Linked DNA regions of Tamandua tetradactyla. The protein of the gene in region 3 interacts with the protein of the main gene of each other region in a biochemical or structural test. Links are inferred from orthologs where the notes say so. Each region holds a gene or a part of one and is shown on either strand. Other genes may lie near its edges. The genes, in order: NTRK1, HNRNPUL1, NEDD4 and GABARAPL2.

Region 1 (7,641 bases), on a different chromosome or scaffold from region 3:
ACAAAGCTGGGAGGAATCTCTAGCATTCTGCAGTACTCTGACATCCTGCAGTAATTGGTAACAAAATACCCGAGTACTTTTTGGCAGGTGGTGAAACCTATGGGAGTATTCTGTAATAACTGGCCGAGAGGTACCCAAGCATCAAATGGTGATGGTAGAAAATACTTGGTATTCTGTGTGGCTGGCGGGGCCAGCAAGACGTCTGGAAAAGGGAAGGAACTGCTGGAAAATCCTGCTCCCGTAGCCTCAGGCTTAGACGATGGGCAAGGAACCCTGGCCTCGTTCAGCAAGGGAGTGGAAGGTAGCTGAGGAGGGGGCCTTCGTGGACTGGCCGATGCTTGGGCAGCCTGCAATAACTGGCACTGAGTTCCTCGGGTATCTCATGGTAATTAACGGGAAGGTATTCAACATCTTTCTCTAATGGCCCTAGGGAGACCAGGCAGAGAGATGGCGGCATCTTGATCTGGGCCTAGGTCCCTGCATGGTGGGAGGGGGCGTGAGACCCAGACTGCCAGACCCCCCGGCCCAGCCCACTCATCACCCTGGCCCTTCACACAAGGGTCCAGGCTCCTGAGTGTTCCACAGCAGTGCTCCCTCCTCCCTTTTCTCTTCCAAGCCCCAGGTAGGTTCAGGAAGGGGAGGTGGGGACGGGAGGCTGAGGCGGGGAGGAGGACAGGGCTGGAGAACTGGGAGGCATGCAGGGCGGTGCGCTGAGATGTTCCTCTGGGTGGGGCAGCAGCCTGACCCACCGCCTCTGCCTGCCCGGTCCCCTCCCTCTTCCCTCACCCGCGGAGCTAACGAGGAGATAATGGACTCGAATAGACAGATTGATTATGAATCCAAACGAAAGAGGCAGCTTTGCGACCACGGCTTTGGGTTTGCTGCCTGACAGCTCGCGCACACACTTGGCCGCTGTGGCCACCGCCTTCTCACCCCTTCCCTGGACCCCTGCAGCTCTAAACCCGCTGGGCAGAGGCTGGAGTGGGGGATAGGGTAGGGACCTGCCCTCCCTCGGGGTCACCCCTTGGCCTGTGGGAACCGAAGACCTGATGTCTGGCTGCCCTGCTGGAGACAGGGCTGGAAAGGAGCGGGGCGGGTCACTGAGGCTGGTCCTGGTTCTTTCACAAGTTAGGGGAAATCAGAGGGTGGAGGGGAAGGTTCTGAGAAGAGGCTGTGAGTCAGGGGCCCCTAGCTCATGTGGGGGAGCACACAGACGTGCCACTGCAGGGCAGCTGGAGTTCTTAGGAACTGCCTGGCATGCTAGGCCCAGAAGCTGAGCCAGCCCGGGTGCAGCCACCCCCCTCCCCACATGCCTGCTCTTTCTTATCTCACTATCTTGCTTTCTCTGGTTCTCTGTCTTTATCCATCTGTCTTTCTGTCTCCCTTTTCTTTGCTATTTTTCTTCTTGTCTGTCTCTGTTTCTCTGCCAGTCTCTGCCAGTGTCTCTGTTTCACTCTCTGTCTCTTTCTTCCACCTGCTCCCCACGTTAAGCCTTCCGGCCTCTCTCACTGTGCAGGTCAGTCAGTCCCTGCCTCTCCGCCCCCCTCCACCGCCCACCCCCCTCCGCCACTCTGACTCTCTCAATGCCCCTCTCCTCCTTCCTCACTCCCTCGGGGTGCCTCCTGGAGCAGGGAGGGGCTCGGGGGGTCCCTGACAGCCTCTGTGTCCCTTGCCTGCTCTACGGAAAGGTGTGTGTGGCGGGCGAGAGGCTAGCGGCTCAGAGGGGACAGGGAGTATGTGGTGGCATGTTTGTGTTTGTGTGGTGTGTGGTGTGTGTGTGGAGTGGTGTGGGTAAGTCCTGAGAGCGGACCCTGAGCCAGTGGGTTTGGGAGCACAAATTCGCATGACCTGGGGGTTTCCTGTGTGCTGGGTGGGGCAGGAACAGCGAGGAGCCTTGCTCATTGTGGAAGCAAATGCTTCAAAGAGGGGCCGCCTCCATTGTTGAACATGGGCAGGAGAGGCAGGAGAGGCCCTTGTGCACAGGCAGAACACCAAGCTGAGGATGGACTTGTGTGTTTGTGTGTGCCTGAGCGTGCATATGTGCACATGTGTATGTGTGTGCCAGAGATACACATGAAGGCTTGTGCATATGTGTGTGTCCTGTGATGATGTGAGCATGCATGTATGTGTGTGCACACGTGTCTGTGCAGTGTAAATGTGTGAGGAGGTACGTCTGTGCATATGTGTACGTCTGTGTGTCTATGTGTGTGTATGAGAGATGTGTGAGAGTGTGTACACATAGATGCTTGCGTGAGAGCGTGAGTATGCATCCTGCATGTACACGCATGTGCTTGTGTGTCCCTGCGTGCACATGTGAACACATGTGGGATGTCTCTGTGCACAGGTGTATGCATGCATGTGTACATGGACACATCTTGAATGTGTATGCACGTGAACAGGATTTGTGTGCATGGATGTGTGTGTGTGCATATGAACATGCAGTGCCTGTACACGTGTGTGTGTGATTGTGAGGGGGCATGTGGGTGGGCACAGGGACGCAAGTGGGAGCTGGGCCCGTGACTCCCTTCTTCTCTGCCCACAGCTACATTGAGAACCAGCAGCGTCTGCAGCACCTGGAGATCAGCGACTTGAAGGGCCTGGGGCAGTTGAGAAACCTGTGAGGGGCAGGGGACTGTGGGGGTGGGGGTGGGGCTCAGCCTGGGGGTGGAGGACAGAGAGTCAGGGAGGGCTCCAGGGTGTGAGGCGCTGGGCTGGCGGAAGTCAGAGAAGCTCAGGGGTAGCCGAGGGGGAAACTGAGGCAGGTGGGGAAAGGTGCAGGGCACAGCACTGGAGCTGGCGTGGGTGGAGAGAGCCACGGGTCGAGGGGCACAGGGTGGCTAACCCCCCGGGGGCTGATCTTCCCGCACCCTCCCCAGCACCATTGTGAAGAGTGGTCTCCGTTCAGTGGCGCCAGATGCCTTCCGTTTCACTCCTCGGCTCACACACCTGTGAGTGGTGGGACTGGGGGGAGGGAGCTGGGGGAGGACACCCCAACTGGGCTATGGATGGTCTTGGACCCCCTCAGGGAACTGTCCTAAGAAGGCCCCCAGCCTGGTGAAGGAAGGCGTCTCACCCGCTTTCCTGGGGCTCCTTCTTGCGAGTTCACTCCAGGACTGCATGCAGTACTCTTGGCCCCCAGCCCTGCTAACTGGGCTGGAAGAAGGTCCTTCTTGTTGTCTCACTTCCATGCTTTATGCTGCAGGGACACTTCTCCTAGGTGCCCGCCCCATCTCTCTTCCCTGGGTTGTGATACACACGGTCCAGAGGGAGCCAGGGAGGAAAGCAGGAACTCCTGGTTTGTGGCAGGGACTCCATCTCCGCGCCACCCCCTCCCTGGTGGGAAGACATCCGCATGCCCGCTGGGATGGCCTGGGAGCTGGGAGTCATCTCTGCCACTTACCAGCCTTAACTTTACTGGGAGTTACAGAGGATGGGGTGACCCTGGAGGGAGAGGCTCTCTGCGTCCTTGGCAACCTTTCCCTGGCCACAGGGTTGGGTGGTGCATTGGGAAGGGAGGTGGGGGCTGCCCTTCATGGGTTGTACTAGGCACTGACCGCTTCACTGCCCTTATGCCAGTGAATCTTTGCAGCCAACCTGGTAAGAAAGGTAGCATCATGCCTGTTTTATAGATGAGGGCTCTGAGCGCGGAGAGCCCTCTGAGATCACAGGGCTGTAAGCGGCAGGGCAGAACTAACACCAGCGCTGCCTGGCTCTAAAGCGGGTATTCTTCCTGGTCCTTAGGGGGAGCTCTCCAACCCAGCCCGTCCCCACCCCAATTCTAGGGCAGCTAAGCATAAAGAGGGGACAGGACAGGTCTCCCAAGGCACAGGGCACAGAACACCTAGGCCAGCTTACTGGGTGGCCTGGAGCCGTCCCCACCGCAGAGAGAACTGGGGTCCCTGCCTGCCTTGACTTTCCTTAGTTCCCGAGGAAGGACTGGAGGGAGGAGGAGGGAGGGGACACATGGAAGGACTTGGAGATGCTGGTTCTCCAGTAGGAGGCAAGGGAGTGTGGGAGCCTCAGAACCTCCCCCCTTCATCTCTGGCCCCAGCCTGGACTCTGTGGGGGAGGGGAACACAGATGGAGCCCCCTCCCCCAGCTGTGGCCTCAGCACTTTGCCAGCTGGGGCCTAAGGGTTCTGGGAGGGGAGGGGAGAAGCTGCTCCCTCAGATCCCCCCTCCCCAGGTTAAGTGGGGTTAACCCTTGTTGTCCCAGGGAGGGAAAGAGCCTACCCCCCACCCATCCCTGCTGCCTCCCAGGGCTTGTTGTAGTTGTGAGGGTTGGAGAGGGGGAGGCAGATGTCACCTTCCCCCCACGGCCGCCCTCCTCTGGCTCGCACTGGGTCAGAGTGAGGTCGGGTCACTCACAGGGTCTCTGTCTCGCTCTGTCTGAACTCTCAGGAACCTCTCCTCCAACAGCCTGGAGTCTCTCTCCTGGAAAACCGTCCAGGGCCTCTCCCTACAGGAACTGTGAGTGCGGGGGGCTTCCCAGGCGAGCGCAGTGCGTGTGTGCGTGTGTGTGTGTGTGTGTGTGCATGTGTGTGTGCGCGTGTGTGTGCGCGTGTCTCGGCATGCTGGTCTGTCACTGTGCTGTGTGGGACAGCTTGGGGACTGGGGGGTGGTCGCTGGTTCTTTGGGGCCCCTGTGTCTGGCTGAGATCACAAGTGCCTGTGAAGGGCGCATCAGAGCAGAGGTGTCTGGAGGGGGCTCCTGCCCTGGGGGGCGTGGGGGGCAGGGCTGGCCGTGAGAAATCCCGTGTGTGCGCCCGGGAGGCGGGTGGGAGGCTCTGGGCCGTGCTGCGTGGACGCGCTGGGCTTGCACACGGCGGGTGCACCCACATGCCTGCTGTGCCGTGCAGGCGGCGCCCAGGCGGCAGGGTGGCCCCGATGGCCTGCCGGTCACACCCGGGGCTGAGTGAACCCTTTCTTCCTCGACACTGTGCTCAGAGTGCTCGCTCGCCTGGCACCCACAGCCCACTGCCTTTGACTTTTCTCTATTTTTTTTTAAATTTCTCAGTCTTTTTTTAAAAAAATGCAATTTTGAGATGTAGTCAACTCACCATACAGTCCCTCCAAAGTATATTATCAGCGCCTCGCAGTGTCACCGCCTGGTTGTGCATTCCTCACCACAACAAATTTTAGAACATTTTCATTACTCAAGAAAAAGAAATACATGTAAAAAAGAAGACCCAAAATATCCCATACCCCTAATTACCACCCCCCACCCCCAATATTGATCGCTCATATCGATGTGGTACATTTGCTACTGTGGGTGAAAGAATTGTGAGCTATTACTGTTAACTGCAGTCCATAGTTCCCAGTAGATAATCTTTTCCCGTGCACCAGTCTTGTTGACACCTTGTAATAGTGGGGGGCCCTCGTTCTAGTTCATAGAACTCTTACCTATCTGCGCAGTGCATCACAGTTATCCTCCTGTATTTCTTTCAATTGCATCTTGTTCCAGGGGTGCAGGAGAGGAGCTCCTCCCGCGTCCGCCTTCTCGCACCTCTAGACCTTCCTCCCTGGTGTCCCCGCACCTCCGCCCACTGTGGGCATTTAATTCCTTGTGGCTCTTCAGGCCCCATGCCTGCGCCTTTCCTCACCCCCTTGCTGTCCCTCCCGCCCACCAGGGTCCTGTCCGGGAACCCCCTGCGCTGCTCCTGTGCCCTGCGCTGGCTGCAGCGCTGGGAGGAGGAGGGGCTGGGCGGAGTGCAGGGACAGCAGCTCCAGTGCCGCGGGCAGGGGCCCCTCGCCCTCATGCCCAACACCAGCTGCGGTAGGTGCTGCAGGCCGTGCTGAGGGGGCTGGGAAAGGAGCTCCCTGCTTGGGGAGAGGGCCCCGCCCAGGGCTGGTGGGCATCCAACCGGACTTGGCGGGGGGGGGGGGGGCAGGGGGAGGTGGCAGGGGGGAGCTCTGGGCGGGGGACTGAGGCACAGGGCCTTGCCTGGGCTCAGCGTCATGAGGAGGGTGGGGGAGGAGCACTGCCCCGGGGAAGGGTTCGGGACCACTCCCAGCTCTGACACCCCTCGGGCGTCCGGGTGGCCAGGTGTGCCTACGCTGAAGGTCCAGATGCCCAATGCCTCGGTGGACGTGGGGGACGACGTGGTGCTGCAGTGCCAGGTGGAGGGGCGGGGCCTGAAGCAGGCCGGTTGGCTCCTGGCGGAGCTGGAGGAGGCAGCCACAGTAAGGGTGAGAAGCCCGTTACCCCCGGAGAGACCCGGCAGGGCAGGGGAGAGAGAGATGCACACGGGGTACACAGAGACAATGGATAAGTTGCACACAGAGCGGGAGGGACGGACAGAGTGGGCAGGAGCCCATAGGGCTCAGGCTGGGGCACACCCCACCCTCGGGGCGGGCACTTAGGCAGCCCCCTCTCTGGGGAGCCTGGTGCTGATGGCAAAAGGGCCACAGCGCCCTCACACAGAGCCGAGAGGGACCCGACAGACCATCCCCCCCAGGTACCTGCTGTCTAGATAAGGGAAACTGAGGCCCAGGGAGGGGCATAGTATCTGCGCTTCTGCCTGGGGGGTCGTGGAGACTTTCCAGGTCTCCTTTTCTGGAGATTCTGGAAGCAGCAGCCTCTGGGGTGTGATGAGCATCTTAGTAAAGGAAACACATGCTTTTGGTTCCAGCTCCCTCACCAATTAATTCTCGGAGTGGCTTTCAGAAAAATCCCTAATCTGCCTGCACTTTGGTTTTCTTATCTGTAAACTGAGGAAGTGGACATGATGGCCTTCTTTTTTTTATTATTTAAATTTTTTTTGTTAGAGAAATTGTGGGTTTACAGAAAAATCATGTGTAAAATGCAGGATTCCCACATTGCACCCTATCATTAACACCTTGCATTGGTGTGGTACATTTGTTACAACTGGTGAGAGCACATTTTTATAATTGTACTATTAATTATAGCCCATGGTTTAACTTAGGGTTCGCCATTTGTGTAGTGCCGTTTCATGGATGTTTTTAAAAGTTTTTATTTTGTTACCTTCTATAAACTTAATATTTCCCCTTTTAACCACATTCGAATAGATATCTCAGTGCTGTTAATTATGTGCACAATGTCATGCTACTATCACCACTGTCCATTACCAAAACGTCGCCATCATTCCAAATAGGAGCGACGTGATGGTCTGATGTTCCGCCTGCCTCTGGGCATTCTCTGGCCTCTATCTCTGTCATCCAGACGTGTCTTTGGACACCTGCCCAGGCCTTGCCCTTGGTTCCCAGGCTGGTGACGGCAGCCGGGAGTGGTCTGACAGCTAAGGCTCGGAGGCCTTGATGACAAGGTCACCCGGGGCTGACAATGGGTTGTGCCTGTCCGAAAAGCCAGCCCCACCTGGGCAGCAGGAGTGTGGCACTAAGTCCAGCCCCTGGGAGGAGCTGGGCCAATGGCCAACGGGGTGTTCAGTTTTGAGGCTCTCACTGTGGGAGGGGGGTCAGCACCAGAGTTGCTGGAAGACCCTGTAACCGTGTTGAAGGAGGGACCATTGGAGCCCTGGGTAGGGGAAGCCCAGACATGAGGAGGGACCACTGGCAGGTGAGTGGACCCTCCCTCTGCAGAGATCAAAGATGCCTTTGAGTGAGAACCAGCAAGCAGACCAGGCAGGGGCGAGGGGCTGGTCCTGCCCGCCTGTGGGAAGACT
Region 2 (7,499 bases), on a different chromosome or scaffold from region 3:
AATAATGGCCTTCAGATTCATTAAGGATAAGTCTTGAAATATTTAGAGTTAGATTAGAAGGGTTCTGGCAAGAAGTCTTAGGAGTCCAGAAGGAGCTCAGCTGGAGCATGGAAAGAACAATAATATGAACTATTCCTGGAGTGTGTATTATATAGACCCTGAGATATGGTTGAGAATAAGCTGAGCTGAACCCCTGCCCAGCAGAAGCCTTCAGGTTAGCATACATTAAACAAATACTCACAAAAAAAGTTATGATTGTGTTAAGGACTACAAAGGAAGGATACATAGGCAATAACTGAGTGATGAGAATGGAGGAGACCACTCCTGGGATTGGCATAACATATCAGAAATCTCAGAATTGGGACTGAAACCAGAGTACCAAACCAGAAACTCCCACAAGGAGGAGAACTTACAGGCAAACCCAGAGAGAACTTGAGAAACCTCTGCTGAGCAGGGCCCAGCCTCTCCACCCCAGGGGGCAGCTCTCTGCTGGGTGTCTCCAGGGCCCTGCTAGTGGCTGTGCCAGAGCATTAAGGCAGAAACACAGGGAAGGAGAGATAACTCTGCCACCCGCTAACCAACTGGTTTCCTTCTCAGAGGACAAATACATCTGGGCAAAACCAGGTGCAACCCAAAGGGAGGATAGCTGCAAGTCACATGGTTTGTTATAGGTCTGTTTACAAGGCTGAATGAAGGATTGGGGGGTGGACACGAAAATGGTTAATAAGATTTTGTTATGGGGGGCAGGGGAGAGAGGAAAAAATAGAATATTTCCTAAATGAAACACAGGGGGCCCTTTCAAACCATTCTGCCTCTTCCATGCTCTAAGTACAGTGCTCGTCTCCCCACATGCCCTATATCCCTCTTCCCAAGCACCCTTCCTGTGCTCACAGAAGCAGCATCGCGTCGGGAAGTTTTGACTCCAGGGTCCTTCTCCACTCTCTAAAATATCCCCCTGCTAATTACTAGGCAGGCCCAGTGCTAAGCCCCCCACATATATGATCTAATTCATTACAAGCCTGAGGGGGCCTATCATCATCTCTATTTTATAGGGCTCAGAGAGACGAATGACTTGCCCAAATTACAGAATCAGACATGAAAGGAAGTCTGTGTGTGTCTAGAATTTGTGCAGTGAAGTACTGAACTCTTCCTCTCTGAGACACCTCTGGCTGGACCTCTAGATCAAAACTGTCCCACATTACCCTCCTTCTAGGTATCCTTGCCAAGGTCCCTCCTGCCCTAGACATGCACACCAGGCCACTTCTCCTTCCCTTCCCTTTGCAATGGGAAGTCCTCTTCTCTGCACCTGGGTCCTGGATAATCCTAGCACCCTCCTCGACCCTAAGTCTATACTCAGGTTCCCCACTCCTCTCCATTAGCTCCCATCCCTCATTAACCAATGTTAACCTGAAATTTTGTCTCTTCTGTGATCAGGTTTCTATATTTCCTTAGTCCCAAGCCCCAGTATACCCTCTTTTCAAAGAAACCAAACTCTGGACACCAGAGTCCCACCCACTTATTTTTTTGGTCTCTAAATTTCCAACCCCCACTCCTGCTAAAAATTCACCCTTTTCTAACTCCAAATTCACTCCTTCCCATACCAGGGTCTCCTCTGCTCAGAAGCCCTTGCCCTACCTAAGTCCCTCTTATGCCCTCAAATCCTGAGGTCACCCCCCCGCCCCACGGCACACAGATAACTGCTTTCAGGAATCCAGGTGCCCCCTTCTCAAAGACAGGTCTTTGGCCCCCAAAACACTGCCCCCACTCTATTGTGAATCCCCAGTCAAACCAAACAGTTTTCCTTCTGCACATCCAACAAGCTCCCTTCACCCCTTTTCCCTATACTGGATACAAGGATCCTCTGTCCCCAAGTACTCCAGTTACTTCAAACTCCAACAACCTGTTATCTGTCCCCACCCTGAGGTATCTACCCTTAGTTGTTTCAGCCTTAGGCCCCCAGGTCTCTTGTTCAGAGAACTTTGGACGCCAAGGTTCCCTAAGCCTCCCTTAGCAGCAAATCTGAAGGTCCTCCTACCCACACCAAATGCCCAAGTTGCTCCTGCCTCAAGGTTGGCCTTCCAGCCCTGGATCTCAGAGACCCTCCAAGCCATCCTCAAGAGGATGCTGACCACCTCCAGGCCCAATGGACCCTCCATCTCTACAAACCATCCCAGCACCCCATGTAGCTGCAAACTTCAATCCTCAAACTCTCCCAATGCCGAAGAGCTGGTTATTCCTTCTCCAACCTTGGAAACACACGGCCTCCAATTCCCACACCCACACGCTAGGCTAGCAAAGTCCCCAAGACCATCCAGCTCTAAACTCTGGGACCATCCTTTCCGAGACCTTTCAGTCTCTTCTATTTCCGGCTTCCGAGCCCTGGGCTCCGAAATCTTTTACCCCCGATCTTCATCTCCGAAACGAAGAGTCGCCAATTCCAACATCTCCCCTGCGCCGAATGCCAGGATCCACCCTCCGGCCCTCCCGAGGCCCTTGTCCCCACATCCTTTTCAGCGGCGGGTCTCAGGATCCCTAGCCCCTAAGACCGCCTCCTTAGCCCCAGGCACCAGACTCCCGCGTCCCTCAGCCCTTTCTCGGCCCGGACTCCTCGGCCCCGGCCCCCGCCCCGCGCACTCTCACAATGTCCATCCGGCCCCGAGTAGCCGCCAGGCTCCGGGTGCGGCTGCAGCCCGGGCGGCGGTGGCTGCGCGGTTCCCTCCAGCTCGGAGCCCCCCTCGGTCTCGACCTCCTCGTTGTTGTGCCCGGGTCGCCCCGGTTCGTCGTCGGTCTCGAGCTCCCGCTCGTCGTCGGGCTCCTCGGCCTCCAATGCCGCCTGCAGCCGCTCAGCTAGCTCGGCCTTGAGGCCGCGAGTGTCCAGGCCGCGGCGCTGCAGCTCCTCGCGAAGTTCGTTCACCTTCAGACGGCGCACATCCATGGCCCGGGCCCCCGGGGCGGCCCCCGAGCCCGGCCCGGCCTCCCAGGGCTCTGTCCCCCTTAAACCTTTCCTGTCAGGAGGCGAAGGGGGAAGAAGGGGGGGGCACTCCAATGGCGGCGGCGGCGGCTCAAAATGGCCGCCGCCGCCACCTCCCCCTCCCCGTGGCCCCGTGTGATGCAACACGCATGCCAATTGGCCAGATCACGGGGCAACGGGCGCGGGTCCGGAAACTCAGCCAATTAGATCGCGGCTTTCAAAACAATGGAAACGAGAAGATCTAGGAACTACCGGGAAGGAAGCGTTGGCCTACGTCGCTGCCGCGGCCGGAGCGGAGGGCGGGAAAAGGCGGAAGGCGGAGCGCGCGCTGATTGGGTGGCGCCCGCGCGCCCGCTACCGTAGAATCAAATGAAGGAAAGGGAGTAAAGATTTGGACCAGTCAGCAATGAGGTCTCAGAATGAGCGCCACCAAACCCTTTCCTGCGCAGTTCTTTCATCAACCTAGTATCTCTGTAACACACATCCTGATTGGTGTAGATCTCCCGCCCCTTGAGGTGGCCAAGCGGTAAAACCACTACAACCAATCTTCTGGTGGCTTTAAGAACCGGAAGGAGATTTATTAACGAAGGACCCGCCTCTTGCCGTTAGGGCGGTTTCAAAACAGTCTGTCGGTCAATCGCAATTACTGTTTTATCTCGTAAAGCCAAGATAGCTGGATGCTTTAGGAAAAGCTAACCAGATTGGCCGTTTTTCAGAGGACGGCCTCAAAAGTTTCGCTGTAGAGGGAGGTATACGGAATAGAGATGAAGTAGATCATTTTTTTCTTAACCTGGAAGAAACTCACTTGCCTTTATGAAAACAACACTTGACTTCGGAGAGCCCTTGAAGATTCGAAAATAGAGGCCAGACTAACAAGGGGAGAAAAGTTGTAAAGGAAGCTGCACCCCCTCCCCTTCGATGGTGCAGCTCTCAAGGCCCTCGTCGAGCGTAGCTCTGCGGCCTCTTCTCTATGGTTGGTACCTTAAGTGGAATGGGCTCTCGCAGGAGGCCCCGCCCCCGAAAGAATTCCAGAAGCTGTTTTTGTTTGTTCTTACCCCAGATCTGTTTGGCGGCGGTACTGACAAGCTCAATATACGGATACGAAGTTAAGCTTCACACTGATAAATACAAACGCCACAGAGTTTCACAATGACTGCCTCGCACCCGGAATCCTGCACTACCTGTCGTCTCTAACTCGAAAGACGAAACTTCAGTAAAATCCACAAGCGAGATACACAATACACCCACCCTCTGTCCAGTGAGCCATATCTTAAGCCCACAAAAGCCACACAACAGCCTCAACGTAAATGAATGCACGGCACGGATGTACAAATCGATGAGACTGAGATTAGATGCAATAATTCCGGGCATAATACACCAATTCAGGATGCATCAGATAGCCGCGTATACGCGTCAGCTAAGGTCCGCACGGACACGCGGCATCAAAAGACACACAGGACAGTTACATTGCAAGCTTCCAGCAATCTAGACACACAGCACCCACTCAGAAACGAGGCAGACACTCACGTGGGCCCGGAGGTTCCAGTCCAGACACCCCGCCCCTCGCCCACGTCCGACTTCCTCTTTCCTCCCAGCTTCCCACAATGATTTGTTCTAAAAAGTTTGTGGCCCGGATTGAACTGTTCCCGGTCCTCAGGAGCCGCCACCGGGGGGCGTCCGGGCGCTGCCAAGGGTTCCTCCATCAGATGTGGGACACACCCAGGAACGGATGCCCGCCAATGCCTGCAAGACAGTGGGCTTGTCTTGGCAGAGGTCCCCTTGGTGGCCGGTGATTATGGCAAGCGTTCTGTACCTGTGTCTCTGTGTGAATTTGTACGTTTGCGCCTGTACCTGTTGTACTTTTATATGTCTCTGAGTACTTGTGTCACTGTTTTAGGATCTCTGTTACTCTGATCTTCCTATTCCTTGTATCTGCCTGTGTGTATGTTTGTAAAGATGTTTGTTTCTGTGTAACTTCGTTTATCTCTTTCAGTGCCTTTGTATTTGTGAACCATCACACCTATGTCCATTGATTCATGTGCCTGTGACTTTGGGGGTCTTTATGTGACCCCAGGTGTATCTATGTGCCTATTCCTAACTCAGAGTTTCTCAGTCTGGGTTTCTTTGCTTGTGTGTCTTTTTGTCTCTGTGTATTTTCTACCCTCTGAGTAGCTCTATAGTGACATGACAACTCTGAGGCCCTACCACCTCCTTTTTATTGATGGGGAAATTGAGTTGGCAGGGAGAGGGGCCACACCACAGCTGATTGGAGGGAGACAAGAAGAGACAGAAGTTTTATGTGAACTGAGCCTCTCCAGAGGCACCAGAGTCCACACTCTGTACATGGGGGATGAAGGACTGGCTCAAGGGGGCAGCATGACCCAAAATGGGGGAGATTGTCTCCTGGGGGGGGGGAGGAGGCATCCCTAATGCATTGCAAAGCTTGAGGGCAGCAGCACACCTCCACTCAAGGGTAGAAGGAAACAGAGGTGGCTAAGAAAGGGAGGGGCACATAGAAGAATATTATAAGGTTCCAACCTTGGAATCATACTAATATTCTGGACCTGTGGAATTTTAGAATCTTTGAAACTTAGAGCATTTGAGTCTTAGAACTACAGTGCCTGGAATCTTAATATTTTAGAAATGTGTACTCTTGGGCTCTTAGGAACTAAAATCCTAGAAAGACGGAATGTAGCATAGAACCTAGAGGTGTCCAACATTAGAAATGATTAGAATGTTGGTGTCTAGAATCTTAGAAATTTACAACTAACGGTGATAGTCTTCGAACTTTAGATGCTTAGGATCCATATCTTAGACCAATAGCATCTACAGTGCCTTGGAATATAGAAACAACGTCATCTTATTAGAGTTTAATAATCTAGAATCTCAGAGTATATGATCTAGAATCTTAGACACAGAGAATCTAGGTTCATTGAGTGTTCGAACATCTCATCTCGGAACATTAGACCTTAGAACCTCTGTGTTTAGACTTAGAATTTTTGAAATGCAGATTCTAGAAACTTAGACTCTTAGGATCCAGGTTCTTATAACAAAAGAATCTAGGATCATAAAGCCTTGGAACCTAGAATTGACTGTCATGAGAATCTCAGATCTTAAGAGTAGAAAACTTGAAGCCTTATAATCCAGAGTCTTATAAAGCCTTAGATGCTAGAACTAGAATCTTAGAGCTTTGTAACCTAAAATCTTGGACCCTTATCAAGAATCGTAGAACCAGAAAATCTAGATTCATAGAATCTCAGAGCTTTAGTACATTAGGCCTTAGAACCTCCACGTCTAGAACCTTAGAACTTTATCAGTGGAGACCTTGAAATAGCTCCTTAGAACCAAAGACTCATAGCATCTTTGAAACTCAGAACCTTAAACTCTAGACTCTTTAGATCCTAGAATCTAGAATTTCGAAATGTCAAACTGGGAGGACCCTTCAGGACTGAAGCTAACTCCCTTCCTTTTACAGATGAGGACGCTAAGGCCTGGAGAAGAGGGAGGGTCTGTTTGGGATGTTTGGAGGTGGGTGGGAAAGGAGGGCTGCACGTGAAGGAAAGGCCTGGGATGGGAAAGTAACGTGGGGCATTCCCCCCAGTGGCAGTGCCTAGCTTGGGTCCTGAGAGGGAGTCACAGATGGAGGGTTGACTTAGGCTCCATCCTCCTGCCCTGGCGGTGCAGGGGAGCCCCTGTTGGCAGGCAGGGTGGGGCCGGGAGCTGTGGAAGGGCAGAGCACGTAGCGTCCGGCAGGGTGGATCTCAGCGGCAGTGAGGCAGCTGCAGGCATCCTTAGGGTCAGGTTGGATGGGGGGGTCAGCTCCTCCAGCAGCTCCAAGGGGCTCGGAATGACCCCCACCCTCATCCATGTTGACATAGAGGATTTCGTCAGGTTCCTGGGCTGGGGGCAGGGCCTTCAGTGTATTCTCCAGGTCCTCCCGTAGTTCTGCAAAACTTGGCCGGTCCCTGGGGTTTAGCTCCCAGCAACGGAACATCAGGGCGTACCTAAGGTGACAGAGTGATGAGTGGGAGGATGAGCGGGGGCTTGGAAGGGAGCATTCTGGGAGTCTGGGGCACCTTAGGACACTAAGGGGACTGGGGACATCTCTTGTGGGCTGCAGGGAACCTCAGCAGTTTGGAAGCATCTGTGGGGATTGAGAATTCCCAAGAGTTTCTAAGCGGGTTCCTGGAAGATTTGGGAGCTAGGCGGGTCTTGTGCTCTGGGCGTGGGGTGGTGTTCTAATGGGGGCTTGTCAGAACAGAGCTTCCCACTGTGGTTCCCCAGAACAGACTCAGGCCTCAACGCCTGGCTCTGCCACTTGCACGCTATGATGACTTCAAATCTGTGCACAGATTCTTTGACACTCTTCCCTTCAAAAGAGGGAGCCTAATTCCTCTCCCCTTGAGTGTGGGCAGGACTTAGTGATTTGCTTCTAATGAACAGAGTAAGGCAGAAGTGATGATGGGTGAAAATTCTAAGATGAGGTAATAAAAGGCACTTCTGGACTCCTACTGGCTATTTGTGGGGA
Region 3 (8,021 bases):
ACTTGCACTTTGTTTTTTTAAACTGCTTAAGACAGATCTAACTACTTTCAATCACAATTTTCTAAACAGTATTTTTAAATCCATTTAAACACCACAAGATAGAATTGAAGGCATTTACTAAAGTATATATTTGACTAAAAAGAAATAGCATTATATTTGAGAATTTATACAGTAATTATAAACCTAATGTTTATGTTATTTGGTTTCATGAAACCTATCTCCTTTATGATTTTACAAACTTCAGTAAATTATTCCTTATCATCTTTTTTTTTTTATATAGAAGGAAGAGTCCTAATCTTTTTACCTTGCCTTCACATGACTACAGCTTTCCTTTTTGGATTAAGATGGAGGTCTGGTAACCCAAATAATGGATTACTTGCGATGGATCAACAATGCAAATCTAATTTCCAGTTAATAAGCAAAACATCTCTGTTAATAGAAAATAACAAGCATCATATATTTGGTTGGATAAACGTTTTCTCTTTGATAAGCTTCACTATAAGCATTAGTTTCATGACTCCTAACTAGATTTTAAGCTTCCAGTGTTCAAGAACCATAACTAAACATTTCTTCCAATCCTCCTGAACTCATGCTGGACACAAAGTAAGCACTAAACTATACCAGGCACGCTGTCTGCCTGACGCTTCCTTTCAGGTTGTGTGTGTGTGTGTGTGTGTGTGTATGTGTGGGAGAGAAAGTGAGAGACATTGATCCTAGCAAAAAGCACTGCAGCTTGACAAGAAGGAAAGGAAAGTTTGCAGAGAAGGATTCAGCAAAGGAAAGGTAATGTAAGAGAATATATATGCAACTCCTAACACTCCAGTCTGAATTTAAATCCTAGAGAGGCTGAACAGTTTGTACTGCTGGCCGAGGTCTAGGATTACACAGAATCAGTAATACCGATTACAGATACTGCTGTGGAACCTGGGGTAAAATATGGCCTCTTAGCCCATAAAATGCCAAAAGAGGGGCATCAACTCTAAGCTCAAGTAGGGAAGAACCTGAGAGTGGTGGCAGCCCTCATGTGAGAAACCCACACAAGTCCTGTGGGAATTCCATATCGAGTGAGACAGATACAGGCATTCCTCAGAGATATTGTGAGTTCGATTCCGGCCTACTGCAATAAAGCGAGTCGCAAATGTTTGGTTTTCCAGTGCATGTAAGAGTTACATTTATACATATGGTAGTTTATTAAGTCTGCAATAGCATTATGTCTTTAAAAATGTACATAAATTAATTAAAATATGACAGAGACACAAAGTGAGCACATGAAGTTGAAAAATGATATCGATAGATTTGCTCAACATGAAGTTGCCACAAACCTTCAATTTATAAAAATGCAGTATCTGCTAAGCACAATAAAGCAAAGTGGAATAGAACAAGGTATGCCAGTAATGCCTTATGATTAGATGGAGACTCACAACTCTTCTGAATGATTCTGGTTATTGATTATCTACAACAAAAACAATGCAATTGCTCACATGGTATATACAGGCCCTGGATAACTCTATCCACTGACTAGAATTCTTAAGGCCAAAGATCACGAAACCGGAGAAACACAGCATCTCCACCCAGAATATAGGAGTCTCCTAAAGCTTCAGTGGCTGGATGTGCAGACATATCTCTTAGGTGACACAGAAATAGTAACTTTTGTATTGGTGGGCAGAATTTTCTTAAAGACACATCATTCTAAAACGTTCCATCACCAGCATTACCAACATCAATATTACACCAACACCGAACACCAGTCCTATAGTTAATAATCAACCCTCAGGATCTAAGTTGACTGAAAAAATGGGAAAGCGAGCCTACACTTTCTTAACAGCAAAGGTCAGTTATATTGCAAAAGTGTTCCAAATTACAAAAAGTTATTTCTGTTTAAAATTATACCTATATTCTTTTCCCTACACTTCCTAATAGAACTTGCTAGGTAAAGGATATGTTCTTAATTTAGTTGTGAATGCTTCAGGAGAGACAGGATGACATGTGCAATGGCATAGGTCATTCAATGTTACAGAATCAAGTCTATTACTCTACCAGCCGCTACAGTTTCTGTAATATCTCAGTATCTGCACACTTCAGTTTCTTGCTAGGACTAACAACAACACACATGACCCAGTTCTAATGATCTTTTGCTCCCTTTTGCTAGTAAAGTGAGTTTCTTGAGAAAAGCAGCTATATTCCAATGCACAGCAAAGCATCTAACAATGCATACACTAAATGACATACTTTAGTAAACACAAAAAATACGGTGTCGGAAAGCCATAAATGCAGGAACCCAAGAATGTTAAATAACACTTCATATTTATATCATGATGGTTAATTTTCTGAATGCTTTCATAGTCATCTAATTTTATCTTTACATTAAACTTATCAGAAAGGCAGGGCAAATATTGTTAACCTCATTTTTAAAACAAAAGAAAATATTTTCAGAGGGATTAAATGACTCGTCCAGGGTTACAAGGTAATATACCACAGCAGAGGCAGGACTTCAATAAAACTTCTGAGACCTTGGTGTGGAGATTTATAATATCCTGATGAATGCATCTTTTGGTGTTGTTTTTAGTAAACAAATTTATTTTTATGTATCATACTTATCAATCTAGAAACATCCAATTGCCAATATTAGAGGCAAAACTTTTTCCTTCCAACTCATCATGACATCCCATATAGTACTGTGCACAGAGTAAATGCTTAAGGAATGTTAATGCACCAATCAATGTATGATAAACATCAATTTCAGCCATGAAAGAGTCATACCATATTAAAATTACTGTAAGAAAGGACTAAACAGCTAACCAGAGTGGAAAGGAAAAAGACGAGTTTTCCCTCTTTGAGGACAACAGATAAACAGTTGACCAACAATACACCCAAAAATCAGGGAGAAATTTATATCAGTATCAGTAATAACAGGAGAAATAAGATACTAATACCATGACTCAGCAATTCAACTCCAAAATATGGACCTTAGAGATGCCTTTGTACATGTCCATAAGGAAACACAGCAAGAACATTTACTGATTGATAATAGCAAAAAACTGGAAACAACCCAAATATCTACTAAGGAGGATAAATACACAAATTACGGTATTTTGTAGATACGGTATTATGGTCTTATCACACACATATACCCAAAAAGAAATTAAAGTTTCATTCTTTTTTTTTACATGGGCAGGCACCAGGAATCGAACCCGGGTCTCCAGCATGGCAGGCAAGATTTCTGCCTGCTGAGCCACTGTGGCCCACAGTTTCATTCATTTTTAAGCTAACAAGGACAATGGATTTTGTAGATCATAGAATACTATACATCAGTCAAAATGTGTCATCATGGATCAATCTAAAAAATATACATTAAACAAAAAAGCAAGTCACAAAAGAATGCATTCAGAATGATACGATTTTTATAGATACAAAAACAAGCAAAAAGAAACCAATTTTTAAAATGGATATATGATAAAAAATATCTTAAATTATAAACATAAAATTAGGGATAGTGGTTACTTATGGGAGAAGAAACGAGATACCACTGGGAAGGGACAAAGAAGGGTTTCAAAGTATTTGGTAATGTTCTAGTTGCGAAGCTGAATAATGAGTATACAGTTGTTTATCAAATTCTTTAAAATAAAAATTTGTCTTTCATATACTTTTTTGTTTATATTATACATTTTATGATTAAAAGAACACTAGAATTAAAAACAGAAAACATAAAGTTTGGTACCTGATCATATTTGGTAACCTAATCATCAGTATCTGCCACTCAACCTTAGAAAATCAGATTGTACACAGTGATGAACAGTCCTTTTTGGCAGCACCTTTGCTTATGATGATGCTAATTAATAGATTCATTTATGATATCTTCAGCTACTAGCACAGTTATGGTTTCTGGAGGGAAAAAATATGCTATGCATTTTAACACTAGACACAGATGCTCTCAAAATCCATTGTCCTTGTTAGCTTAAAAATGAATGAAACTGTGGGCCACAGTGGCGCAGCAGGCAGAAATCTTGCCTGCCATGCTGGAGACCCGGGTTCAATTCCTGGTGCCTGCCCATGTAAAAAAAAAGAATGAAACTTTAATTTCTTTTTGGGTATATGTGTGTGATAAGACCATAAGCCTTGAACAAATAACAGTGTTCTTATACCTATATGTTTAAATTTTACAGATTTAAAATATAAATGTAAGATGCTAAGAAGAGAATTAGAAATAGGATCTCTAAGAGAGAAAATAAGGAAAAGGATAGGACTTCAAGATAGTCTTTAGGAAATCAGGAACCATAAAATCATTTTATAAAAATCAGGTTTTATTTTGCTTTTTTCCAATGTAAGACTGGAAATCCTTTAGAGGAATTCATTTGCTTATTCCTTTCTGAGTGGAAACGGGATAGTTCTCCTTTGTAGAAGGGTGGAAATAAGAGGAAGGAGATGGGATGTAGTAAGCTGGATAGAGGTGAGCCCAGGAAAAGACACTGCAGTGAGGAGGCACAACCCAGGATACTCTGGAGAAGGCTCCCTGAGCCTTGGGCTATTGACCCAGGTACATAAATGAGCACGAGGAAAGGCAAGACAGAAACCAGTTTTCCTTATTATCTCTTGGGAGGATGGTGGAAAGGTAGAGAGGAGCACTAGAAAAAAGGAAAACCAAAATTGTATCCATCATCGCCCAAAGCACAGATTCCCATCACACTTTCCCTTGCTGCTCTACTGAAATATGCCCTTGTTTCATACTTCACACTAGCACAGTATCACTTACCAAGCGATTTTCATCAAACACTTCGAAAAGAAGCCGGTGTTGCTGAGGATGGACCTAAGTAACAAAAACACAAGATTTCTTTAAGAACAAGTGAACAGCTTCAGTTTTTGGTGTATTGGTGGAGCTACAGAGAAATGCCTAAAATTGCTAAACTGGAATCCAGTAACTTTGATTCTTGAAGGTTGTTGTGTAACTATATAACTTTCACAGTGTGACCAGGTGACTAATAAAACTTTGTGACTGAGACTCCTTTTATCTAGTGTATGGACAGATGAGTAAGAAAATAAAGACAATAAATAAATAAATAATAGGGGATATGGGATGTGTTACTTTTATTTGCATTATTATTTTTATTGTATATGGAGCAATGAAAATGTTCAAAAGTCTCTTGTGATGAATGCACAAATATATGCTGATACTGTAAACCACTGATTGTATACTTTGGATGATTATATGGTGTGTGAATATATCTCAACTAAATTGCATTAAAAAAAAACTAGTGAATATCAGTCCACAAATCCTGAGAAATCAGTGCTTGAAGTTTTGCCACCACCTAATGTGTTACTTACAATATATTTTATATTACATAAATTACTTAATAGTAGAACAGAGAATCATGTGTCAGCCATTTTCTAATAATTTTATAACAACAAGATGAATTTTGTTATTTATTTTTTAGTATTTTCTAAAATAGAAAGTAAGAACTTTAAATGATTATTTAAATGTTTGCAAGCACTTAAGTGTGGACTAGGTTTTAACTTATTATCAATTTTATTTAGTGACTTTAAATTTATTAGGTTAGAACCACCCAAAGTAGATGTTGGTTTTTATGGAAACTAGTGCTCTGAATCCTTTTAGTACCGACTTGACAAAACCATTTGTTGCTTCTACTACCTAAAGTACATAAACAATCAAAAAAGTATATACTGAGTTTTCACTTATTGTTTATACTTGATAGCCCCAGAGTAAACATTCACAGCAGTATTTTATATTTTAATGCTGATGCTTTCAGTCTTGCTGAAATCTTTCAAGGTCAAATGAAAAAAATCTGCTTAAGACTTCCTGGAAGATGGCGGCTTAGTAAGACGCGCGGATCTTAGTTTCTTCTCCAGGACACCTACTAGGGGAGTAGAAACGATACAGAAAGCGCCCAAAGCCACAACAGAGATAAAAAAGACAGCGTACCCCATCCTGGAACGGCTGGCTGGCTGAGAGAAGCAGCTTGGGTGAGATCGCCGAGGCGCGCGGGCCTTACCGGGCGGGGTGGCAAGCGGCCGGAGTTACTCCCTTCCCCCTTCCCGGGCCGGCTGGGAGAATTGGAGAGGTGGTCCCCTGAAACCAAGGCGACTGGCGCCCACACCACGCGCAGTCCCCGGACCAACTGAGAGAATTGGATCGGAAACCCCCAGGCCGCGGAGAACGGTGACCCCGTGACTCCCGGGGAACGTGCACTCTCTCGGGCGGGCCGCTCCCGCTGGCGCCCTCCCGCCACGCTTGTTGCCCAGGGCCGACTAGGAAATTTGGACGGGCTCTTTCCCTGGCTGCAGCGACCAGCAACCCTCCCTGCGTTCGGACCCCGGGCCGGCTCAAGCCGCTTCGGCTAGCGAACCCCCAGGACGGCGATAGTTTTCCAAAGTTTAAGGTCCCACAGCACCTTTTACTGGTGGGACCCGCAGACAAACGTGTGCCACGAGCGCCACCTACTGGGCAGGATAAGAAAAACAGAACCCAGAGATTTCACAGAAAAATATTACAACCTTGCTGGGTCCAACACCAAGAGAAATCTGAATAAATGCCCAGACGCCAGCAGCAGAAGATAACTGTCCACGCTCAAAAGATTGAGAATATGGCTCAGTCAAAGGAACAAACCAATAGCTCAAATGAGACACAAGAGCTGAGACAACTAATGCTGAATATACGAACAGAAATGGAAAACCTCTTCAAAAATGAAATCGATAAATTGAGGGAGGACATGAAGAGGACATGGGCTGAACATAAAGAAGAAATAGAAAAACTGAAAAAACAAATCGCAGAACTTATGGAAGTGAAGGATAAAGTAGCAAACATAGAAAAAATAATGGATAGCTACAATGATAGATTTAAAGAGACAGAAGATAGAATTAGTGATTTGGAGGATGGAACATCTGAATTCCAAAAAGAAACAGAAACTATAGGGAAAAGAATAGAAAAATTTGAACAGGGTATCAGGGAACTCAAGGACAATATGAACCGCACAAATATACGTGTTGTGGGTGTCCCAGAAGGAGAAGAGAAGGGAAAAGGAGGAGAAAAACTAATGGAAGAAATTATCACTGAAAATTTCCCAACTCTTATGAAAGACCTAAAATTACAGATCCAAGAAGTGCAGCGCACCCCAAAGAGATTAGACCCAAATAGGCGTTCTCCAAGACACTTACTAGTTAGAATGTCAGAGGTCAAAGAGAAAGAGAAGATCTTGAAAGCAGCAAGAGAAAAACAATCCATTACATACAAGGGAAACCCAATAAGACTTTGTGTAGATTTCTCAGCAGAAACCATGGAAGCTAGAAGACAGTGGGATGATATATTTAAAATACTAAAAGAGAAAAACTGCCAACCAAGACTCCTATATCCAGCAAAATTATCCTTCAAAAATGAGGGAGAAATTAAAACATTCTCAGACAAAAAGTCACTGAGAGAATTTGTGACCAAGAGACCAGCTCTGCAAGAAATACTAAAGGGAGCACTAGAGTCAGAACCGAAAAGACAGAAGAGAGAGGTATGGAGAAGAGTGTAGAAAGAAGGAAAATCAGATATGATATATATAATACAAAAGGCAAAATGTTAGAGGAAAATATTATCCAAACAGTAATAACACTAAATGTCAATGGACTGAATTCCCCAATCAAAAGACATAGATTGGCAGAATGGATTAAAAAACAGGATCCTTCTATATGCTGTCTACAGGAAACACATCTTAGACCCAAAGATAAACATAGGTTGAAAGTGAAAGGTTGGGAAAAAATATTTCATGCAAATAACAACCAGAAAAGAGCAGGAGTGGCTATACTAATATCCAACAAATTAGACTTCAAATGTAAAACAGTTAAAAGAGACAAAGAAGGACACTATATACTAATAAAAGGAACAATTAAACAAGAAGACATAACAATCATAAATATTTACGCACCGAATCAGAATGCCCCAAAATACGTGAAGAATATACTGCAAACACTGAAAAGGGAAATAGACTCATATACCATAATAGTTGGAGACTTCAACTCACCACTCT
Region 4 (7,904 bases), on a different chromosome or scaffold from region 3:
AGCCAGGTTCCTTGCCTCCGACGGATAGAGGGTAATTACTACATAGTACTCATGATATACTTGACCTCTTTGCAGATAGTGGGTACAAGCTTGGCTAGCGGTTTTAGGGAAAGCTGTAGCCCTACCCCAAAATAGCATTGGCTTACCCCTTAATGGAATGCTACGCATACACGCACACATACACACACTAGTATTTTGGACATAGCAGAAGAATTTTTTTTTTTACCATGGTTTACACCCAAGTTCATTAAAGAGTCCTGAAGGAGCACATCGTAGTATCAAGAGATAATGTGACGGGGTGGGGGGTATGGTATGTATGAATTTTTTTCTGTTTTCTTTTATTTCTTTTTCTGAATAGATGCAAATGTTCCAAGAAATGATCGTGATGATGAATATGCAACTATGTGATGATATTGTGAATTACTGTTTATATATGTAGAACAAAATGATTATATATATATATATATATTGGGTAGATGGAAATATGAGTGGTCAATGAGAGGGAGGGGTAAGGGGTATGGTATGTATGAGTTTTTCTTTTTTCTTTTCATTTCTTTTTCTGGAGCGATGAAAATGTTCTAAGAAATGATCATGGTGATGAATATACAAGTATGTGCTGATATTGTGAGCCACTGATTGTATACCATATATGGAATGTTCATATGTTAAGAATGTTTGTTTGTATGTTGTTTTGTCAGTAAAAATATTTAAAAAAGAAAGAGAGAGAGATAATGTGAAATTTGTGCTGAGTGGAGTCCGGTAGCTGGTGCCCCTAATTTGAAGGCAACCTAGAAGTAGCTACTAGATGAACAGCTGCGATTCAAACATACAGAGATCAAGAGCTGCCCATTCTGGAGAACTATCCTCAGGGTCCTTACAAGGGTCCAAGATGACATTGTCCTCAACCATAAAATATGACTTTGACATAGTCCAGTACTCTCATTCTTGCTTTTAAAGCTTTTCTGGGGTGGCAACATTGCTTTTAACTTCAGCAATTTTTGTGCTCAAGTCTATGGTTTGATTCTTAAAAATTATACTGTGTACATTTTAAGTGGATGATTTTCATTTACTCAAGTAGCTATTAAAATAAGATTTTTCTAGAACAGATGCCAGATAGTGCCTCCTGAGTGTGGCCCTGTTACTGGACAAAGGCCGTGGATTCTTTTGCCCGACGCGCTCAATAACCAATTCCTGAGACACCAGGGTTTCAAAGAGAGATAGCGTTTATTATGAGGCATGTAGTACAAGAATAGATGGCTTAGCTGTCCCAAATCTGTTTCCCTGAACTGCAGTAATTCTGATAGTTTTATTAGAGAAAAGATGGGCACGGTTTAGAATAATGAGCACAATGGCCCCAGATGATGTAATTAGAGGTGATCTAATTATTGAGCTTGTGCAGATCGATTACATGCTTAGTTACAGAACGTGTGTAAGAAAATGATGGAGAGGTATAGGTGTCTCACAGGTTAAAGTCTAAGCTACTGCACATGTCAGGCAGACCCGCTTTTGTTAGATCCAGTCTCTTTTATCAAGATAACTTTAGATTTGGGGTGGGTTAGTTCTGGTCCAGACCCAAGATACTTCATTAATAAATATTAGGGGCTGTCTTTAGTTATTACAAGACTCTAAAGTTGAAAAACTGGATAACTTGGTAAAATGAAGATCAGTCACAGGGTTTTTACAATCACAGAGAAGATAAGGGCTATACAATCATTACCAGGGATCAGGACAGTTCAGAGATTTCAGGTATTTCCCTCTGTCCAATATGCCATAAAGGAAAAAGGAATATTTATATAATGATTCAGTAATCAAAGTCATCACTTAAATCCTGGTTTCTTGGTTACAGTCCTCTTTGGAGGAAAGAGGCTTTGAAGGACTGCTGAAGGAAACATACTGTAGCTAGTTTCAATTTAGTTACTGCTGAAATAGAAGCAGCTGACTGCTAAGAATGTAGGTGCATTGAGTGTTTCAGCTTCTGTGAGGTGCATGAACTTTACACAAGTATTTATTATGGGAAAAGACATAAAAAAAAAAGTAGGTAGGGAGAGAGGACAGAAAGACACTGCACATCAATGAAACCATCAGGAGGCAGGACCATGAGTTGGTGAATGGTGGATAACTCCTTTCCCTGAGAAATATACTGAGTTCTCATGTGCAAGGTGATAGATACATGCCTGGGACCAGAACATAATTACCAACTCTGTAAAGGGAAGCAAGAGTCTGGGTCCAATTTCTAACTCCTCTGCTGATTCACACATTATGAGAAGGTGAACAACCATCTTCACTCCTTGGGGGTTAATTCTATCCTTAAAATAGATATTTTTCCCTTTATTTTCACTCACCCTCTAGCTCTCACCTAGTTCCATAGCTTTAAATACTTCTCCCCTGAATCTGAGACTAATAGATCTATTTACCAATTTCACATCTTCATTTGGATGTCTTTTGGATCTGTTTCTTGGGCATCTTTTGCTTAATATATCCAAAACCAAACTCTTGACCCCACTTCAACAACACTGGCTCCACCCTATTTCAGCAAATGGCAATTCAATTCTTCCAACAACCTCGACTTTGACTTCTAATACACACCCATATCCAATCTGATAAAAGCAATACGTTTCATACAATTTAGGATCTTAAAGCATTATTAAGTAATTCTTAAACTGGGCAGGATTCCATTCAGAAAGTAGAAGGAAGCGCCATTAAAGGGGTGAAAAAGAGAAGCTCAGACAGGGTGAAAGCAGAAGCAAGCAAGGAAATGTTCTGCTTGGCTGCTATTAGTTTCCATTTTACATAGAGGAGTCTTACAAAGTGGGGAGCAGATATAAATTGATAGTATGGTATGCTTGTCCATTCTGATAAGCTTTCTCTACTGGACCAAAGCAATCCTGTAGGGTGTATTCCATTTTCTCAGAATTGTTTTTGTCTTCTAGAAAAGCTTTTTGGGAAGGGGTCTTCTCCTGGCAATGCCCAAAGTGGGTGGTCATTTCATTTTACTTAAATGTATCGGCCAATTTTGTAAGCTCTAACCTTCAAAATATATCCAGTATATAATTACTTCCCACCACCACCATAGATACCATCCTGGTCTAAATCAACATCATCTTTCATGTGGATTATCACAACAGCTTCTTAACTTGTCCCCTTACTTCCACCTTCACCCCCACCCCCCACCATAATCTACTGTCTACACACAAGCAAGTCTGATCATTTAAAAAGGAAAGTCCTTTGCTCAAGTCCTCCACTAACTTCCCACCTCATTCTGAATAAAATTCAAAGTTCTGTCCATGGTATATGAGGCTCAAAACCTCTTTGACCTCCTCTTCTACCACTGTCCTCTTTGTTCCCTCAGTTCCAGACACACCAGCTCCTTCCTGTTCCCATAATATGCCACCACTCGATCCATAAAGCATTTTATCCCACTATCACTCTTTAGGTCCTTACCCTGCTTTACTTTTCTAAACAGCACCTCTATTTATATGACATATTTATTTATTGTCTTGTTCCACTAGAATTTTAGTAAACTCTATGAGAACAGGGATGCTATGTGTTTTGCTCACTGCTGTTTCCCCAGCACCTAGAACAGTGCTCCCGTATACAAAAACACCTGATTTCTATGTATGAAATTAAAAGAATTTTTCACGTTATTATCAACAAACAAACACTCACCTATTTTGGCTGCTCAGACATGCAGTCTTAAAATAACAAAAATAATTTTAAAATGAAGCTAGATTCAACAGCATCCATGGAGAATTTTAATTGTAGGAAATGATGAATGATAATATTCAAATACAGGCCATTCAGATGCATCAGAATCACAAGCACGGGGTAAGGGTCATGTGCCCAATTAAGTGAATATTCTTATTAAACATTCACCAGCTCATAAATAGATGATGACCCAGACTGGACTGCCCTGATGACTCTGCTTGGAAGAAGGGGATTACATCATGGATTGGAAGGCGTCAAGGCATGTGCTGGGGCAAGTGACACACACACACACACAGCCCAGGCTGTGATTTGCAATCCTCCATCTGCCAAACAAGGAAGCCCGACTCCTGACCAGCTGTCACGGTAATTCTTCGAGACTGACAGTCACTAGGTAAGGTTAAGGGGTCTCTCTTAGTGATCAATAAAGTTACATTCCTCAAATGTGTATTTTGATGCCCTTTCTTAAATGTTCATCAAATATTTATGTATGAATAAAGGAAGGAAATGAAAGTTGTTCAAATTCGATTTCTACATCGAAGGCAACCTATTATGAGTGTCTTCCAGGTTGTCTCTAGTACACCACTCCCCACCCCAGGCTTCTCAAACTAGTCACACACTGTCATACCGAGCCACACCTGCCCCCCCCTCCAAACAATGTCAATACCCAAACAGACCCCCTTCCATCGTCAACCCCAGAAACCCAATGTCTTTTATACTTCCAAACATCCCCTCCTGTCAACTAACACCCTAATCAGACCTCCCCATCAAAAGCCCTCTGTAATTGCCCTGTCCTATTAGCCATACTCCAAACTCCCCTTCCCATAACTAACGTCCACCCAGACCCTGCTCCTGTCACCGTTTCCCGGAGCATCCTCTCCCGGAGTCACCAGCATCCCTCACAGACACACCTACGCAGCAGGTAGCCAGGTAACCGTCCCGGCGCCCCGCGGAGCCCCTCGCGGGGTCCTCCAGGCCCCTCCCCTTCGTGTGGCCCCGCCCCCTGGCATGGTGCCCCGGCAAGTGGCGCCGGAAGCCCCGCCTCCTGCCCGTTGCCAAGCTCGGGCAGCCGGAAGTCCCGCCTGCCGTGTAGTCGCCGCCGCCGCTGCCGTCGTTGTTGTTGTGGTCGGTGCGCTGAGTTCCGCGGCTCGGAGAGCCGGCTCTGTCCCTTCGCCGCCGCCGCCATGAAGTGGATGTTCAAGGAGGACCACTCGCTGGGTAAGCGCTTGGCCGCCTGCCGGGCCGTGGGGGTGGGGGTGGGGGTGGGGGTGGCGGGTGGGCCCCCTCCCCCACTCGGGCTGTCCTGGGTCGGGCCTGGCGGGGCTGATGCTGTGCCCTGGGCTTGGGACGCCGAGGCCCCGGTCCCTGGATGGCCGACGCCGGCCCCGTCACGCCCTCATTCGTCCCGACCAAGAGTCAGGGGATAAAGGACAGCGACCGCGGGGACGCTCGAACGAGGGCCCGGGACGTGCGCAGGTCGCGGGGTAGGAAGGTTGGGGACTCGATACCGGCCGGCGTGTCTGTCAGCTCCGTGTGTTTCCCCTACAGAACACAGATGCGTGGAATCCGCGAAGATCCGAGCGAAATATCCCGACCGGGTTCCGGTGAGTGTTCGGCCTCCCCCGCCCCCTCACCTCGCCGTCACCCCTGCCGTCTAGGGTCTGTGATTAGGATACTAGGCCATTCAGCAGTTGACAAGTTGAGGTTCCAGTCCCGGTTGTAGTAGCAGAAAGGCTGGACTGTGTTAGGGCGGTCAGGGGCAGGGCGTGAGGGGCTCGGGTTTCTGCTGTTCAAGGTTTCTCGGTGCTGAATCTCCTGATCTAGGCCAGAGAGCTGTCTGCAGCCTCTGGGCTCCCTCGCCAATTATATAAGGAACGTTGTTCTGGGACAGGGCAATAGGTCATTGCCACTTGGGGGAATAATGGTGGAGGAGGACTGTCACTTTGGTCTTAGAAGTGGTACTTCAGTCTCAGAACATTCCTTTTTAACTTCAAACCTCCATTTTTACATAACCTCCAGCTTCCTTTCCTCACTCAGACCCTGCTTTCTTTGACCAAAAAAAACCTGAAAGCCACAAAAGAATCCCTTGTCCTCTGGTTTCCCTTTAATAGACAATAAGTATGATCCTGTATTTCTTCCAGGGTGGGGAAATATTGGTTTTCCCAGGGAATCAGGCCTTTTATTGTAGTTCTTTGCCTGTGAACAATTCTTTTGGAGAGAGAGCAGGAAGGACATTCAGACCTCATTCAGACAGAAGCAACAGGCCAAACGAAGAGCGTGGTTCTTGGCTGGCTGGGGTAGCTAGTCATTCTTATTAGTCCATCCCTCTTTGTTTCCAGGGCTCCTTGGGATATTAATTCTCCTGTAGTGTGAAGCAGATCCTGTCTGGGATCCTGGGGTAACAGGCTTTAGATAAAATCCTCACCAGATATTCTCCTTTCTGCTCAAATAGAATGTTGAAAAGCTTAGTAGTAAGAGCTGTGTTTCTCTTATACAGGCTGAGATCAGGGATGAGAAATACAGTACGTGACCACAGAAAAGCACTTACCATTGTAACACGTTTATGTCATTTCTCAATCTCCAGAGTGTGTGGTTTATTAAGATGGGGCTTATTTTCTCATGCTACTCAATTTCCCACCCACCTCCTAGCTCTTACTGTATTTATTAGCTTCCCTGACAATGTGAGGCCAGAGCCTCACTTTAGAAATCCAGTCCTAACTTCTCTTTACTTTCTCAGGTGATTGTGGAAAAAGTCTCAGGCTCTCAAATTGTTGACATTGACAAACGGAAGTACCTGGTTCCATCTGACATCACTGTGGCTCAATTTATGTGGATCATCAGAAAAAGGATTCAGCTTCCTTCTGAAAAGGCGATCTTCCTGTTTGTGGATAAGACAGTCCCACAGTCCAGGTGAGAGATGGTCAGTAGAAGGGCCCTCTGGTAATGACCACTGTTTGGCGTCTTACAAACTCAGAACTTTGAAAGTGTGAATACTCTTAAGGGTCTTGAGTGAATATCTGGATTTTGTGCTTCCTAGCATCAGGAGCCCTCCATGAAAATGAGGAAGGGCAGCAAGACATGGGAGCATACTTTAAGTTAACAAAAGAGAATTCAGTCCCTGTTTTTTAATTCAGGGCCTGAATTTAAAAAAAAAGAAGACGAAAGAAACCCTGCCTTAGAACCCCAAGAATCTTTTAAAACAGTTGAGGACTCAGTTTTAAGCCATAGCTGGAACTGATGCCTCAAATAAAGTTTTCTCTAAATGATCTGTGAAATTAGACCTGTCACTCCACCAGGAGCTTGTGGGCCCTGCTGAGACTGAGACTCAGCCTCAGCTATTCATCCTGCTACTTGCTGTCTAAATGCAGTTAGCTCTTCCCACTATGAGAATCTATAGGTCCCTGATCCTCACTCAAGTCCATTAAAATGGCTACTGTCCAGTCAAGGGCCCTGAAGTCTCTACAGATTAACCCTGTCTTGGTGCCACCTGCTTTGACTGTCAGAGGAGCTCCTGTGCTCTGTCTTGCTACCTGAAAGCAATCTTTGAGGTTATAACTTGGGACCTAAATCTAGGCAGGGCGTTACAATTTTTCCTCTTCTGTGAGGTTGACAGCTTAGCTTTAGTTCCCTGTGGAAAGGAAAATGGACTGGTTCAGTCTAAACCTCTGGACTGTCCTTTACTGTTACTGATTGTGTGCTTCTCGCCCCTGAGTGCGAGTTCCTGGCTGTATTTTGGTAATCCACAACTAACTCAGGTGTTATTTGTTACTCTAAAAGTAGTATATCTAACTAAAGCTGGTAACTAGCCCACTGTGGCCAAAATATGCTCCCTTTAAAAATCCTTGAAAGCTCCAGAAGAGGGCTAAGGCAAATACCAGACCTGTTTATTCTTAAGTCTGATTTCCTCTTTCTCAATCTCCATGTCTTCATTTCCTCGTGTTTGGCAGAGAGGCAGGGCAGGGAAGAAATAGAAATCTCTTCTCTAATGCCAGTGTCCTGCCCACGAGGTACCATTTGTCTTCTTCAGCTGTAACTTAGAAGCTGCAGTGTTGCCAGAGGTGATTTAGTCACCCCAATGGGCTCTTCCAGCCTCCCTGCCTTTTCCACAGGCCTCTGGGCAGTGTGGTGCTGGTGTACTCTTACCCAGGGAGGAAGCCCTGGCCATCTGTAGTTGCTCTTGGCTTCCCTTAAGGTGGTGGGGA

What was found.
Region 1: of the proteins of NEDD4 (region 3) and NTRK1, one has a biochemical effect on the other in vitro, tested with the Homo sapiens proteins (3 studies listed by BioGRID, with this or other methods). The link is inferred for Tamandua tetradactyla from reciprocal best matches to the Homo sapiens genes NEDD4 and NTRK1.
Region 2: the proteins of NEDD4 (region 3) and HNRNPUL1 form a complex in vitro, tested with the Homo sapiens proteins (2 studies listed by BioGRID, with this or other methods). The link is inferred for Tamandua tetradactyla from reciprocal best matches to the Homo sapiens genes NEDD4 and HNRNPUL1.
Region 4: the proteins of NEDD4 (region 3) and GABARAPL2 form a complex in vitro, tested with the Homo sapiens proteins (2 studies listed by BioGRID and IntAct). The link is inferred for Tamandua tetradactyla from reciprocal best matches to the Homo sapiens genes NEDD4 and GABARAPL2.

What each region holds. Positions count from the first base shown.
Region 1 is NC_135330.1:9,863,025-9,870,665, forward strand, and holds the start of NTRK1 (high affinity nerve growth factor receptor), read left to right. Parts: upstream 1-4,367; 5' UTR 4,368-4,469; intron 4,470-5,628; 5' UTR 5,629-5,755; coding exon 5,756-5,774; intron 5,775-6,044; coding exon 6,045-6,187; intron 6,188-7,641. UniProt on the Homo sapiens protein: Receptor tyrosine kinase involved in the development and the maturation of the central and peripheral nervous systems through regulation of proliferation, differentiation and survival of sympathetic and nervous neurons.
Region 2 is NC_135342.1:22,510,337-22,517,835, forward strand, and holds the start of HNRNPUL1 (heterogeneous nuclear ribonucleoprotein U-like protein 1), read right to left. Parts: upstream 3,169-7,499; 5' UTR 2,936-3,168; coding exon 2,641-2,935; intron 1-2,640. Other genes in the region: AXL (tyrosine-protein kinase receptor UFO), read right to left, coding at 6,624-6,975.
Region 3 is NC_135340.1:71,135,118-71,143,138, forward strand, and holds the start of NEDD4 (E3 ubiquitin-protein ligase NEDD4), read right to left. Parts: upstream 3,147-8,021; 5' UTR 1-3,146. UniProt on the Homo sapiens protein: E3 ubiquitin-protein ligase which accepts ubiquitin from an E2 ubiquitin-conjugating enzyme in the form of a thioester and then directly transfers the ubiquitin to targeted substrates. Specifically ubiquitinates 'Lys-63' in target proteins.
Region 4 is NC_135342.1:70,248,268-70,256,171, forward strand, and holds the start of GABARAPL2 (gamma-aminobutyric acid receptor-associated protein-like 2), read left to right. Parts: upstream 1-4,749; 5' UTR 4,750-4,886; coding exon 4,887-4,920; intron 4,921-5,250; coding exon 5,251-5,306; intron 5,307-6,439; coding exon 6,440-6,612; intron 6,613-7,904. UniProt on the Homo sapiens protein: Ubiquitin-like modifier involved in intra-Golgi traffic. Modulates intra-Golgi transport through coupling between NSF activity and SNAREs activation. It first stimulates the ATPase activity of NSF which in turn stimulates the association with GOSR1.